2 linked regions of the Caenorhabditis elegans genome follow. The protein of the gene in region 1 interacts with the protein of each later gene in a biochemical or structural test. Each region holds a gene or a part of one and is shown in the gene's direction. Other genes may lie near its edges.

Region 1 (7,646 bases):
TTATTTTGCACATCGACCAATAAGTGCGCAACTTATAAAATTAATTTATTTTTGTTAATTTTTGAAATACTTGTATTGCTTTAAGTGATCTGACCTCGCCCTGAGCTTTCCACGTAGTTATCAAATACAAATCCTCCAAGGGTAACGTACCTATATTACTGATCTTTATAATAACTTTATCACCTGTCCAGTTCCAGAGGAATTCTGTTAAGCTTATAGGCACAGAAGGAGTCATTTCTGCTGGTTTTTAATGATCCAAATCTTTATTTCAAGTAAAAAACTGAACACTTGCGAATAAAACTATCAGATTAACCATTCACCAAAAATGTGTTTGAATCTAAAACTTTCTCAGTATTCCAAATATAGAAATAAATAACCACGACATTGCTAAAATCTGTCTGAATTGTGTACTCCTTACCGTGAAGTAATAATGGATATAATGAATCGTTTGAAATGAATGATCAGCACATTTTTGGTGAAAGATCACAAATAAGGAATAAGCGACGGAAAATAAAACGATTATTTCGGATCAAAAATTTGTTGAAGATCATATACACTCGAGACCAAGATTATTCTAGACAATTTTCAAATTGGCTTCTTTGTTTGCAAATCTTCATAATAATCTGTGAAGTTTGGAAATTTGAATTTTTAATCTTTTTTCATAGATTATAGTTTTTATTTCTTTGCAAAACTATATTAAAAACCGATGCATTGTTTTAGGGAAATTAATGAGCCTTTTGTTCAACACTAAAAACAATAAAATTAAAATTTTGGCTTCATCATTTGACCTTTTTTAAGTTCGAAAACTTTTCTCGTATTTCTGAACCGCCAATTTTTTCACACATCTCTAGACTTTTGGTGCCCGTTCCAGAAAGTTAAGTAATTGCTATTCTAAGAAAGTTCTCAACATTGTTTTTTAGTTCTGATTGAATTCTGATGTTCCAGGAATATATTTTAAATTTAATATTCTTTGCACTATTTCTATACTAACTAAATAATAAATAGTCTAAGTATGTTCAATGAGAACAAAAAAGCTCTATCTATATTTTTCTATCCTATTTCATTTATATCCTTTTCATTTTGAACTCACCAGCTTCTCTTCTTCTTCTTGTCCATATACTTCTTAAAAGTCTCGAACTTCTCTCTCTCACTCTCCATCAATTTCTTTATGGCTACCGCTTGCGCTCTGCCGCTTCCGAAGAAAGAAGGCGTTGGCAGAGCTCTCAATTCTATTTTTTCTCGCCGTAGGCTATCGATTTCTCAGCTTCTCTTCTCTCTTCCTCACTCCACCACCACCACTTCGGGCTTCTTCTTTTCTTCATTTTCGTCTTCTTCTTCATCCTCTTCTTTTTTTTTCAGTTCCCCCTCACTCCTCCCCTTATATGCGCGTGCGAGAGGGGTGCAAAAGCAGCGCGCATCCGAGAATTGAAACGAGAAAACGGAGACGCAGCAGCAGTTCGTCCTCAGAAAAATAGCCAGTAAAAAGAGAAAAAGATAGAGAGAGACCTATCGCATTTTATTTTCAAATTGCAATTCCTGCAATTCATGTGTGCGTGTGCCCATTTTCAATTCTTCCCGTTATTTTTCAGACCATTACCAACGTTCTTTCTAGATCTTGAGACAATCTTCCTTCTGCTCAATCGTTCGTCGTGAAGACGGCATCGACGACGACGACGATGAGCAGTAAAGTTGAAGAAGATCAACATCAAGAACTTCTCACAGAAGATCAACTTGTGGCAAGATGTGTTGAATGCTTTGGTAGGAATAAAAAGTGAAACCCTATTAACACCACAGGTGGTAATTTTATAGATGTCGACGAGGAGGATGAGGTTGAAGATATTGAATTTGTTGACGCCTTGTTTTTAAGTCATCAATGGTTGAGTGATAGTTTATCACTTATTACACATTTCGTGAACTTCTATCAGGTAATTTAAAAGTTGTGATCTGTAGTATTAATTGAATTATTGCTCTTGAGTTTTATATTTCCGGCTTCACGCGCCCAGTTCAGATGTTCCTAAAACACCTGGCTGAGTGAAGCTTGCAAATTTATTTACATTTTTATTTTGAATTAAAGACTGTCACAGAAAACAAATAGTAATAATATCAAATTTTAAGGAAACTCGAAACGTCGAACAAAGAGAAGCAGTATGTCGAGCGGTATCATTTTGGATCGAAAAGTTTCCAATGCATTTCGATGCGCAACCTCAAGTCTGTGCACAAGTTGTTCGATTGAAAACGATAGCAGAAGATATAAATGAAAATATTCGAAATGGTCTAGATGTCAGTGCATTGTAAGTACTTTCAATTTACAAAAAAATAAATAAGTTGAAACAAACTCAGACCGTCATTTGCGTGGCTTCGAGCAGTTTCAGTTAGAAATCCATTGGCTAAACAGGTAAGTTTTTTTGTTGTAGAGTGAAGGCTTCGAGGAATTGCGAGCTATGGTGTTGATGTGTGGAGAGAAATTTCAATTTGGTTTCAATTAGTTTGCATTATATTTTTAAGTTCATATTGCTGTTTTGTCTGAATCAGATCATGTGAACTTTTTGAACTATTTCATACTATTGCGGATTAGCAAAGTAATCTTTTTGATTAACGGATAAAAAGATTAGATAAATGAATCATACAAAACCCTGAAATAAAAAGTACGCACCCAACTTGCTCCTCGATTCAATGAGTAAGCAAGCATTTAAGAATTCCTCAGGAAGTGGTATACTGGGAAAGTTTCTCAAAAAGTTTTCATTGAAAAGAGATGAACTCGCCATTAGAAGAAAAATTAGTTTGAGAGATTTTTGATAAGTTTCCAATGTTGTCAAGATGCACAATTTTATTGAGTTTAAATTTCTCTTTTTTAGTCGACCTATATTTATAATGTGCATAGCCTGCATAAAAAGAGTCAACTTAAAAAAAACACATAAATCCAGCAGAGTTTATACACTGTGTGAATTTCCACGACATGATTACATATAATTGCAGAATTGTCGATAATTTCGAAGATGGTCATTCTGTCGTTTACAACATTTGATAACATTAAATTTTGAACAAAAAAAAGTTGTATCAAATATCACTCGCTGAATACCTCGTTTTGCTTTTTGTCTGTATCTGATTTGAGAAAAATAGCCTTGAGTTTCAGACAATAGTTCGAGTTGATTTCGAGACTTTGCCCACTCCGGGAACCCCTCCACCATTTCCCATTGCCTCGAAAAAATTCTCACTAGTACATTTATCAACTTCTTTGAATATTCATGAATTTTTTCTAACATCAATTAATTTTCAGACTGCCTTCTCTCTTTCATTTGTCCAAGCATCCCCTAGCGATATTTCGACGTCACTTTCTCATATCGACTATCGCGTTTTGTCCAGAATTTCGGTGAGAATAATATAAATTAGAACAACAAAATGATGAATTGTGGTTACCTTTATTTCAGATAACTGAGCTCAAGCAATATGTGAAAGATGGACATCTAAGATCATGTCCAATGTTGGAAAGAAGTATTTCAGTATTTAATGTGAGTAAATATTATTGAAGAAAATTGAGCATTTTTTAATTAGAAGCTTTAATGGATTGGTTGCTTCGTTTATGATCAAATAGCGGCCAGGACCAAATATAGACAGATCTTTGAGCCTTCTAAGAAACTAGTAATTTTCACTTTTTTGTATTCTAACAGTGGCTTAACAAGCACTTAAATAACACGTTTTGGGTGTAGGTTCTTGGTTCTTGATTTTTTTCTCGAAATCACACAAAAAACAATAATTAATTCAGAATCTTTCCAATTGGGTACAGTGCATGATCCTTAACAAGACAACACCAAAAGAACGAGCAGAGATCCTTGTGAAGTTTGTTCATGTAGCAAAGCATCTACGAAAGATCAATAATTTTAACACTTTGATGTCCGTTGTTGGTGGAATAACTCATTCATCAGTGGCTCGACTTGCCAAAACATATGCAGTTCTGTCAAACGATATCAAAAAAGAACTGACTCAGTTGACAAATCTTTTATCTGCTCAACACAATTTCTGCGAGTATCGAAAAGCATTAGGAGCGTGTAACAAAAAGTTCCGGATACCTATAATGTGAGTTTGAAGTGTTTAATTTTCTAAAAGTTCAATAATTCAATATTTATATGTTTCAACTTTTCAGCGGTGTACATCTCAAAGACCTAGTCGCAATCAATTGTTCGGGTGCAAATTTTGAGAAAACAAAATGCATCAGTAGTGATAAATTGGTGAAACTTTCCAAACTGCTTTCAAATTTTCTGGTTTTCAATCAAAAAGGACATAATCTTCCCGAAATGAATATGGATTTGATAAACACATTGAAAGTGTCTTTGGACATTCGGTACAACGATGATGATATTTACGAGCTGTCGTTGAGACGGGAACCAAAAACTTTTATGAATGTAAGTATATTTTAAAGTACCATGGTATCTGATGGCAACTTTCTTGGAAACTTTTCAAAAACTCTATAATTTAATTTGCAAAATTTCCTGTATAGAGGCGTTCGATAAATGTGAACTTTTTCCAGAAAATTTTTGACAAAATCAAAGATTCCTGTTTGCAGGAAAAGTAACGGTTTTCGGTTTTGCTTTATTAGACCCCTGAAAACCGGATTTCGAAATGATACTCAAAATTATAAAATACAGTCTTATGTGGCTAGCCTGAAATGTATTTGGTCAAATAATTGCGACTACCCCTTTAAAGAATACTTGTCAACGAACTAACTTTTTTTAATTGTTCTTTTTTTTAGTTCGAACCATCTCGTGGACTCGTATTCGCTGAGTGGGCCTCTGGAGTTACAGTTGCACCTGATAATGCAACAGTTTCAAAACATATCAGTGCAATGGTGGACGCAGTATTCAAACACTATGATCATGATAGAGATGGATTCATTTCTCAAGAAGAATTTCAGTTGATTGCTGGAAATTTCCCTTTTATTGACGCATTTGTGAACATAGATGTTGATATGGATGGACAGATATCAAAAGATGAATTGAAGACCTATTTTATGGCTGCAAACAAGAATACAAAAGATTTACGAAGAGGATTCAAGCACAATTTCCATGAAACTACATTCTTAACTCCAACGACTTGCAATCATTGCAACAAATTGTTGTGGGGGATTTTGAGACAAGGCTTCAAGTGCAAAGATTGTGGATTAGCAGTTCATAGTTGCTGTAAATCAAATGCTGTAGCCGAATGCAGAAGAAAAAGTAGCAGCAATTTAACAAGGGCTGCCGAGTGGTTCGCTTCACCACGTGGCAGTATGAGAAGTAGGATAATAAATACATGCAAGTGAGTTGGTCTCAAATTGTGAAGAATCTTCAGAAACCGGTTTTCACTGAAATACATAGATCTAGATTAGTTTTGATATGATTGATCTCGCACGTTTTTTGAACTCTTCAGAAGCATGTAGCACGTTTGAACGGGAAGAAATATTTGAGAATTATATGTTTCTAAAAGTCTAAAGTTTCATTTTTTCTACTCTTGGTAATTTCCGTAGACTATATAATTCCTAGTTATAAATAATCGGTCGTAGTATGTAACCTCTAATCAGATTCATTAGAAGATCGTCTCGGCCTCGTACTGTATCTGCAGTTGTCACATCTCCAACAACAGAGAAGCCGACATGTTCTACGAAACTCAGTCCTCCAAAACTGAAAGATATTCGACCACAATCGGAAAGTACTGAATATTAGTAAGTTATTATAGTGGCTAATTAGTTTTTAAGTATCTTCCTAAATTTATCAAAAGTTAAATGCTTTTCCAACCAAAAACTTAATCTTTTCAAAACTAAAAAAAACCTAGTCAACAGTGTATCACAATAATGCGATAATTCATATGTAACAAACACTTTAATTGTGACATGCTTTAATATTTATTTTGAACAGAGCTCTATATTCACGGTTTCCTGAATGTATTTCTTGCAGTAATTATATTGTAGTCTACCGTAATTCTCACGTGGACTACGGTAGGATCACATACCGTATGTCCCCTAATAAACTTGCATCATCACTCTACTTTGACAGCTTATATCTCTTATGTCTCAATTTTAATCAAATATCTATGTTTAGAACTATAGAAAAATGTTTTGGGCGTATTTTGTCAGTTGACAATTTTTTAAAACCAAAGTCAGCTGGCTGTCAAAGTAGAACAAGCGGATACTAGTCTGATAAGGAAAATACGACATGTGATTAGAAGTTTTGTGGAGCACAGGATTCACTTTTACGATACAATACTGATCCCATCAATTGGTGTCAGGCTGTCGCATTAGGAGTTGATCTACAGAAAATGCGGGAATTGTCTACCCAGAAAGATGTAACGTCAGCACGTTCTTAACCATACGAATTTAGTAATTCTCATAGATCTACGTAAATCAAGCCGAAATGGGACACTCTGACACCATGTGCCCCATCAATATTTTCAGTTGTTCATTAAACATCAATAAGAATTTCAGTAATTCCGGAAGTACACCAGATGAAGAAATTGGTCTTGTAAGCCTTGCTTGTGAAGAAGTCTTCGAAGATGATGATCTAGCAGATATTTCATCTGCGTCATACCGTACCGCCTGATTTGTCTCCATCTATCTCTTTCTCTGCACTCTCTTTATTTTTAGCAAGAATATATTACACAAACACTGAATTCTGGGAATGCGTGTTGCGCAACATATTTGACGCGCAAAATATCCCGTAGCGAAAACTACAGTAACACTTTAAATGAATACCGTAGCGCTAGTGTCGATTTACGGAAACATTTTATTAATCGATTAAATATTAAAAGAAACACAAAAATGACAAAACAATACGAAAAACTGAATATCACTGTCGCAATTCGAACATAAGTGAAAATCGATCCCGTAAATCGACACCAGCACTACAGTAGTCATTTAAAAAGTTACTGTAGTTTTCGGTCAGATATTTTGCGCGTCAAATATGTTGCGCAATACGCCTTCTCAGGATTTAGTGTTCTCGTAATATGAGAGTACAATATTAAGTTTATTCTTCTCATCTATTTTTCTTCAAATTAATGCATACGAGTATTTTTTCCTGCAAAATGCGATTCATTTTTTAACCATATCACTCAATTTCTCAAATTTATTTGTTTTTTCTTTCAGTACATTCCCTCACAATTCGAGCTTGCTTTTTCCTATCCCACTTGTTTGATCTCTACGCTAAATATTTCCACGTGTAAAGTATTTTTCACCAGTCTTCCACACACTTTCCTCTTTTTTCGAATGAATTTTTGCTGAACATCATTTAAAACTCTGAATTGATTTATTGAAAGCTGAAAGCATTTGGATTTGTGTGCACCGAGAGAAAAGAAAACTGAATACAAAAATATACACATAGAGATGAAAAGATAGAGAAAAATTTGATGTTTTGATTAACTCCTAAAAATTTGCCAAAAAAACGGGAAAGAGTGAATTATGGAAAGGAGAAAAAATGATAGAAGATAACAAAGGGACACTGGGAGAAACTTTGTTTTCAGAAAGAGAAGAAGACCCGTAGTTTTAAATTGAGTAATAAATAACGTTGAAGCGTATTAACGGCGCCACCATTGAATAAGTCGCTTCGATGCTGAAACAGGCTGATCTATTCCACGAACAAAGCGAGTAGCCCTATCCAAAGTAAGGTTCTTCAAACGATCCG
Region 2 (5,072 bases), on another chromosome or scaffold:
CATTAAATAATTCAATTCATCGTTATCACCATCCTTCGTCGTCGTCGTTATCGTCAGAAACAGATAGGGATGGGTCGATACAAAAAGAAAGTGGACAGTTCTTTTCTCTCACTCTTTTTCTCTTTTACAAATCACACTTGTTTCGTCTCACACACGCTCACTTCTTGTCTCTTCTCCCAACAGTCGTCGCAAAACCGTCAAAAGCGTAGCGGCTGTCGCGTCGCGGTCGTTCGTGTCTATGCATCACCGTTTCTAGTGCTCTCTAATTGTCCCGCCGTAGCAGTAGCAGCAGTAGCAGCGGCATGGTGGGGACCGCACTCCTTTATCTTTTACTCTTACTTTGTGTGTGTGTATGGGGGGTGCGAGAGAAAGAGATAAAAAAGAAAGAAAGAGAGAGTGTGTGGTTTCTGTGCTTCTGTGCACTCCAGAGCCTCGGATTTCTTTTCCTATGAACTTCATTTCTCGTCTCCATCATCAGAAGGAAGAAGAATTCTTCAGAATCTTGCACTTGAAGCGTTTTCTGCCTATTTATTTTCTCCTCCCGAGTTCATCTCTCTATTCGTCTTTAGCTTAATCCATTTTATTAGGCACGCACCCGCTCCTTGGTTCAACCAAATGAGAAGATAGAAAAGATGGAGCAACGCATCCCAAATTGTGTGATAGGATTAAAGTAGTGTGGAAGAAAAAAAAATGCAGAGTGAGAGAAGGGGCAGTCTTCTTTTCCGGTCTTACTAATCCTAACGTCTTCTTTTTCCTTCCTATCTCTCATCTCTCAACTTCTGAAATAGTTGAGATGAGTGATTTCGTAAGTTCATTATTCTTTTTTGTCAGTTTTTGCTTATAGTTCCTACGGGAATCATTGTTTCTTAAACATGCTACTTCTTTAAACAATTTATATTTAACAAAGTAAAATTGAACGTTTTTTTAAAAACTTTCTAACTGAATTTCGTAAATTTATTTGTTTCCTTGTGAAAAATGCTTGTCAGGAAAACTTTACTTCTCTACGTCTCAATCTCTGCAATCTTTTAACGAGAGATCGGAGAATTTTGTATTGGAAAAGTGAAAAAGAAAAATGAAAGAGACCCACTCGACACTGAGGGCGACCGAAAAGAAACCGACGAAAAAAAACGACGATTCGAGCCATTTGTCAGCGACAATAAGTGGTCGGGTCGCACCACTGTCCGCCGTCTCACCGATTTTAACATTATATTGTCCCCCTTTTTCTTCATCGCTTTGAAATCAATTTTTGATGAAGTGAAGACCTTTTTTCTCCTGGTTTTTTTTTTAATAATTGCATTACCCCATTTTTTAAAGTTCAAAATTACTCAAACTATTTGAATTCTTCTTTTTTTCAAATTGTAATGACTCATTCTCCGTCGTCTTCAAATAGTTACTCATTCCGACTCACCACCTAGTTTATTAACAGGAAAGTTCATTCTTTTTCTATCTTCTCAATTATTCTCAAGTAGTCATCATCGGTTTTTTATTTCTTTCCTGGTAGTTACTCTCCTTTATCGAAACTTTTTTTTGAAAAAAAAAAGAAACGGAATTCTGAGTATGCCGATAGGCAGAGCTGCTCTTTGGCAGTGCTCCCACAGAAATCCTTCTCCACTTCGTTTTCTCATTTCCATCTCTATTTTACATTTTTCCATATTCAACTATGCGTCTTTTTTCAGAAAAGGGTAATGACGGAGTACAAGCTTGTGGTAGTTGGAGATGGAGGAGTTGGTAAATCAGCACTCACCATTCAACTCATCCAGAATCACTTTGTCGAAGAATACGACCCGACCATAGAGGACAGCTACAGAAAGCAGGTGAGAAATCATTGGGAACATCCGCTACACACATGTGGTGGGAGCAAATTGAACGAAAATGATGGCATTTGAAATTGAACAAAAAAACGATGAGTCAGAAGTTTGGAAGTTTTTTGAAACACATCGAGCTGTTTAATTGATTCCAAAGACGAATAAATCGTGCTGAAACACGAAAAATTCCGAAATTTTCGAAAAAAAACCAATTTTTCGTGTTTTGGACACGACATTATAAAATGGCTGGAACTGAAAAAAATGGCTCGAATCATGATTTTTCATTGTCCCCCGAAAATTCTCACAAAAAAAAATTGGAAAACCGAAAATTTTAGTTTTTGCAAAAACCGGAAAAATTCTGAAAACACTCCAAAATCGATATTTCTCAGACGAATTTCAATAATTACATTCCGTTTTACGTTTTATACAAAAAACAGAAATTTCACTTTTTTTTTGAGAAAGGGCCCAAAACTTTTTTTTAGATTTTTTGTTTTTTTAAAGCAAATCGATAAACCAGCATGCCTGCTCGTGTCGTGTGAGGAGTATAAATTTTTTTAAACGTATATTCATCTTTAAACTCTGAAATTCAGAATATTATTGAGCCCTAATTTTCAGTGTTTTCATTTGAGTTTTTAACCAGTAAAAATAGTTTTTCAGTTTTAAAAATTGCTCCGAGAGCTAGTTTTTAAATATTCTAATTTCAGGTTGTGATAGACGGTGAGACATGCCTCCTCGACATATTGGATACCGCCGGACAAGAAGAATATTCGGCGATGCGTGATCAGTACATGAGGACAGGCGAAGGATTTCTGTTGGTTTTCGCCGTCAACGAGGCTAAATCTTTCGAGAATGTCGCTAACTACCGCGAGCAGATTCGGAGGGTAAAGGATTCAGATGATGTGAGTTTTTTTTGTTGAAATTATCAGTCAATGGTTGAATATTTGTATTTCTTCTAGGTTCCTATGGTCTTGGTAGGGAATAAATGTGATTTGTCATCTCGATCAGTCGACTTCCGAACAGTCAGTGAGACAGCAAAGGGTTACGGTATTCCGAATGTCGACACATCTGCCAAAACGCGTATGGGAGTTGATGAAGCATTTTACACACTTGTTAGAGAAATTCGCAAGGTAATTTTTTAGTTAAAAATTTAAATTAAAAATAATGTTTTTAATGTACAATTAAGGTACAAATTCAGTCATTATTATATGAAAATTGAAAGACGCGAGATTTTGATATTTTCGCGCCAAAAATACGACACCCGGTCTGTTCGATTTGCTCCTTCAAATATTATGGTAACTTTATACTGTCGTTACAGCGGAATTTTCATCAATTTTTTTAAGTTTTCGATATTATAAAAATATTTAAAAACACAGCAGTTTTAATAAATCGGTGAAAATTACCCCAGAAACGAAATATTAAAGTTACTGTATTCTTTAAAGGCGCACATACGTTTGCATTTAACACAAATTCATCGTGTCGAGACCGGGCACCGCATCTTTAATTTGAAAATCGCCAAATGTTGCATTTGAGTAATACAAAAACGTTGTTTTTAAAAATTTTCTGTTTTGTAAAGCTCTAAAATGTTATTATTGTTATCAACAGTTTCAAGTTTCCATTTTTCACTAAAAACGAAAAATGTAAGTTTTTCCGATATTTCGAAACAAAAGCTCAAAGTTTTGGTCATTTTCTTAATTTTTAAAGAAAATTATATGTTTTCTTTTGTTTTTTTTCTCACCAGCATGCACAAAATCTGATAAAAAATTGAGTTTTATTGTTAATTTTCTAAAAAAAATTTTGATGACACCCTAGATTGATATCCGAAAGATTTAATAATGTTTTCTTTTTATTTCAGCATCGTGAGCGTCACGACAATAATAAGCCACAAAAGAAGAAGAAGTGTCAAATAATGTGATTCAGCGTCGGGAATTGCCCAATTTCGCCAACTCATTTTCAGTCGTGTCAACTCCCACCCAATTATCCTTTCTCGTACTTTTTTGGTACATTTTCATTATTCATTTATCTGTTTTATCTGAAACTTGTGATCGATCCTCTTCCGCCTCTACATACTCTTCGAATTTCCACCTTTTTTTCTCTATGCATCGATTGAACTTGTTCTCTCGTCTGCTCGTCATTATTTTTTCTCCTTTTTTTTCTTCATCCTTCATTCTAATTCCTCATCTTTCGCTTAGCCCAAATCTCCATTCATTCATAGGTGTCAAAACTAGCTGTAGTGTGTGATCCATATCTAAAACATGCATCCGAACCCCCTCCTCGTTCCAAAATTGGCCAACTCTACCAAAAAAAACATCGCACCATTTTTTTTTCACTTTCTCTGCATATTTTCAGAATGTTTGTATTGCTTTTTTGATGCTTTATTCCCCTTCCTCGTTTTCATACAAATTATTGGCCTCATCTATTTTCAGAAGTTCTCTGAAAATTAAATTCTTTTGCATCTGCCGGTCGTTCCGTTTATTTTTTCTCTGTTTCCTCTCATTTTTGTCAAGTAATTATTTCTCTTTCATTAACTATAATATAGATACAATTAGACCCCATTTCTCATACATTTTCTGAACATCTGAAAGTTTTTGCTCCCTCGTATTGCATTCATTTTTCTCTATTCCTCTACATTTTATAGTCCTATCTGAATATAATATTCCTATTCTTTTGATCAAGTTTTTATTATTATTTTATTTTCAAGGAAGTATTGCAATGATATAAATTTTAAAAAGCTAATATTATTTTTTTAAATCTATTCAACTATATTTTGTTAATTTCAGTGTTATATTTTGACCTCGCCATCGGAGCATGATTTTAAAAAAAACTAAATTTAATTTATTAGAATGACGAGAAAAAGGAAAAATGTAGAGTCTGATGAGAATCCTCCAGCGAAAAACTCATTTGAAGGATACGGATATGCTGCTGCTGATGCTGAGAAGAAGCCACAGGAGGAGAGAAACAATTTCAGAACTTTTCTAGCCAAAAATGAACGATTTGGAAGTGGAAATCGAGGTGGAGGAGGTCGTGGAAGAGGAGGAGATGGTGGATTTAGAAGAAATGATAGAGGTGGACGTGGTGGTGGTGGAAGAGGATTCGGTGGTAACAGAGAATTCAGTGCCGGAGATTTTGAGAAGGTTTGTGTCAGATGGTGTCGTGAGTGATGTAGCGTCTCTGGCTTTTTAAACTCAAAATTACAGAAAAAGTTTCGATATGTCGAGTTAAAAACATTTCTAAAATTTGTATTATTTTGCAAAAAATAAAAAAAAGCCG

What was found.
Region 2: of the proteins of rgef-1 (region 1) and let-60, one has a biochemical effect on the other in vitro, tested with the Caenorhabditis elegans proteins (one study listed by BioGRID).

The regions. Positions count from the first base shown.
Region 1 is NC_003283.11:9,555,639-9,563,284, reverse strand, and holds rgef-1 (Ras guanyl-releasing protein 3), read left to right. Parts: upstream 1-1,613; 5' UTR 1,614-1,676; coding exon 1,677-1,758; intron 1,759-1,809; coding exon 1,810-1,925; intron 1,926-2,115; coding exon 2,116-2,291; intron 2,292-2,340; coding exon 2,341-2,395; intron 2,396-3,277; coding exon 3,278-3,370; intron 3,371-3,428; coding exon 3,429-3,509; intron 3,510-3,763; coding exon 3,764-4,074; intron 4,075-4,141; coding exon 4,142-4,400; intron 4,401-4,747; coding exon 4,748-5,292; intron 5,293-5,563; coding exon 5,564-5,695; intron 5,696-6,454; coding exon 6,455-6,569; 3' UTR 6,570-7,258; downstream 7,259-7,646. Other genes in the region: ehbp-1 (EH domain-binding protein 1), read right to left, coding at 7,540-7,646.
Region 2 is NC_003282.8:11,687,691-11,692,762, reverse strand, and holds let-60 (Ras protein let-60), read left to right. Parts: upstream 1-1,674; 5' UTR 1,675-1,685; coding exon 1,686-1,814; intron 1,815-2,509; coding exon 2,510-2,704; intron 2,705-2,761; coding exon 2,762-2,932; intron 2,933-3,657; coding exon 3,658-3,717; 3' UTR 3,718-4,536; downstream 4,537-5,072. Other genes in the region: ZK792.5 (Nucleolar protein 9), read left to right, coding at 4,646-4,936. UniProt on the Caenorhabditis elegans protein: GTP-binding protein with GTPase activity. The level of let-60 controls the switch between vulval and hypodermal cell fates during C.elegans vulval induction. May stimulate the guanine nucleotide exchange factor (GEF) activity of rap-1.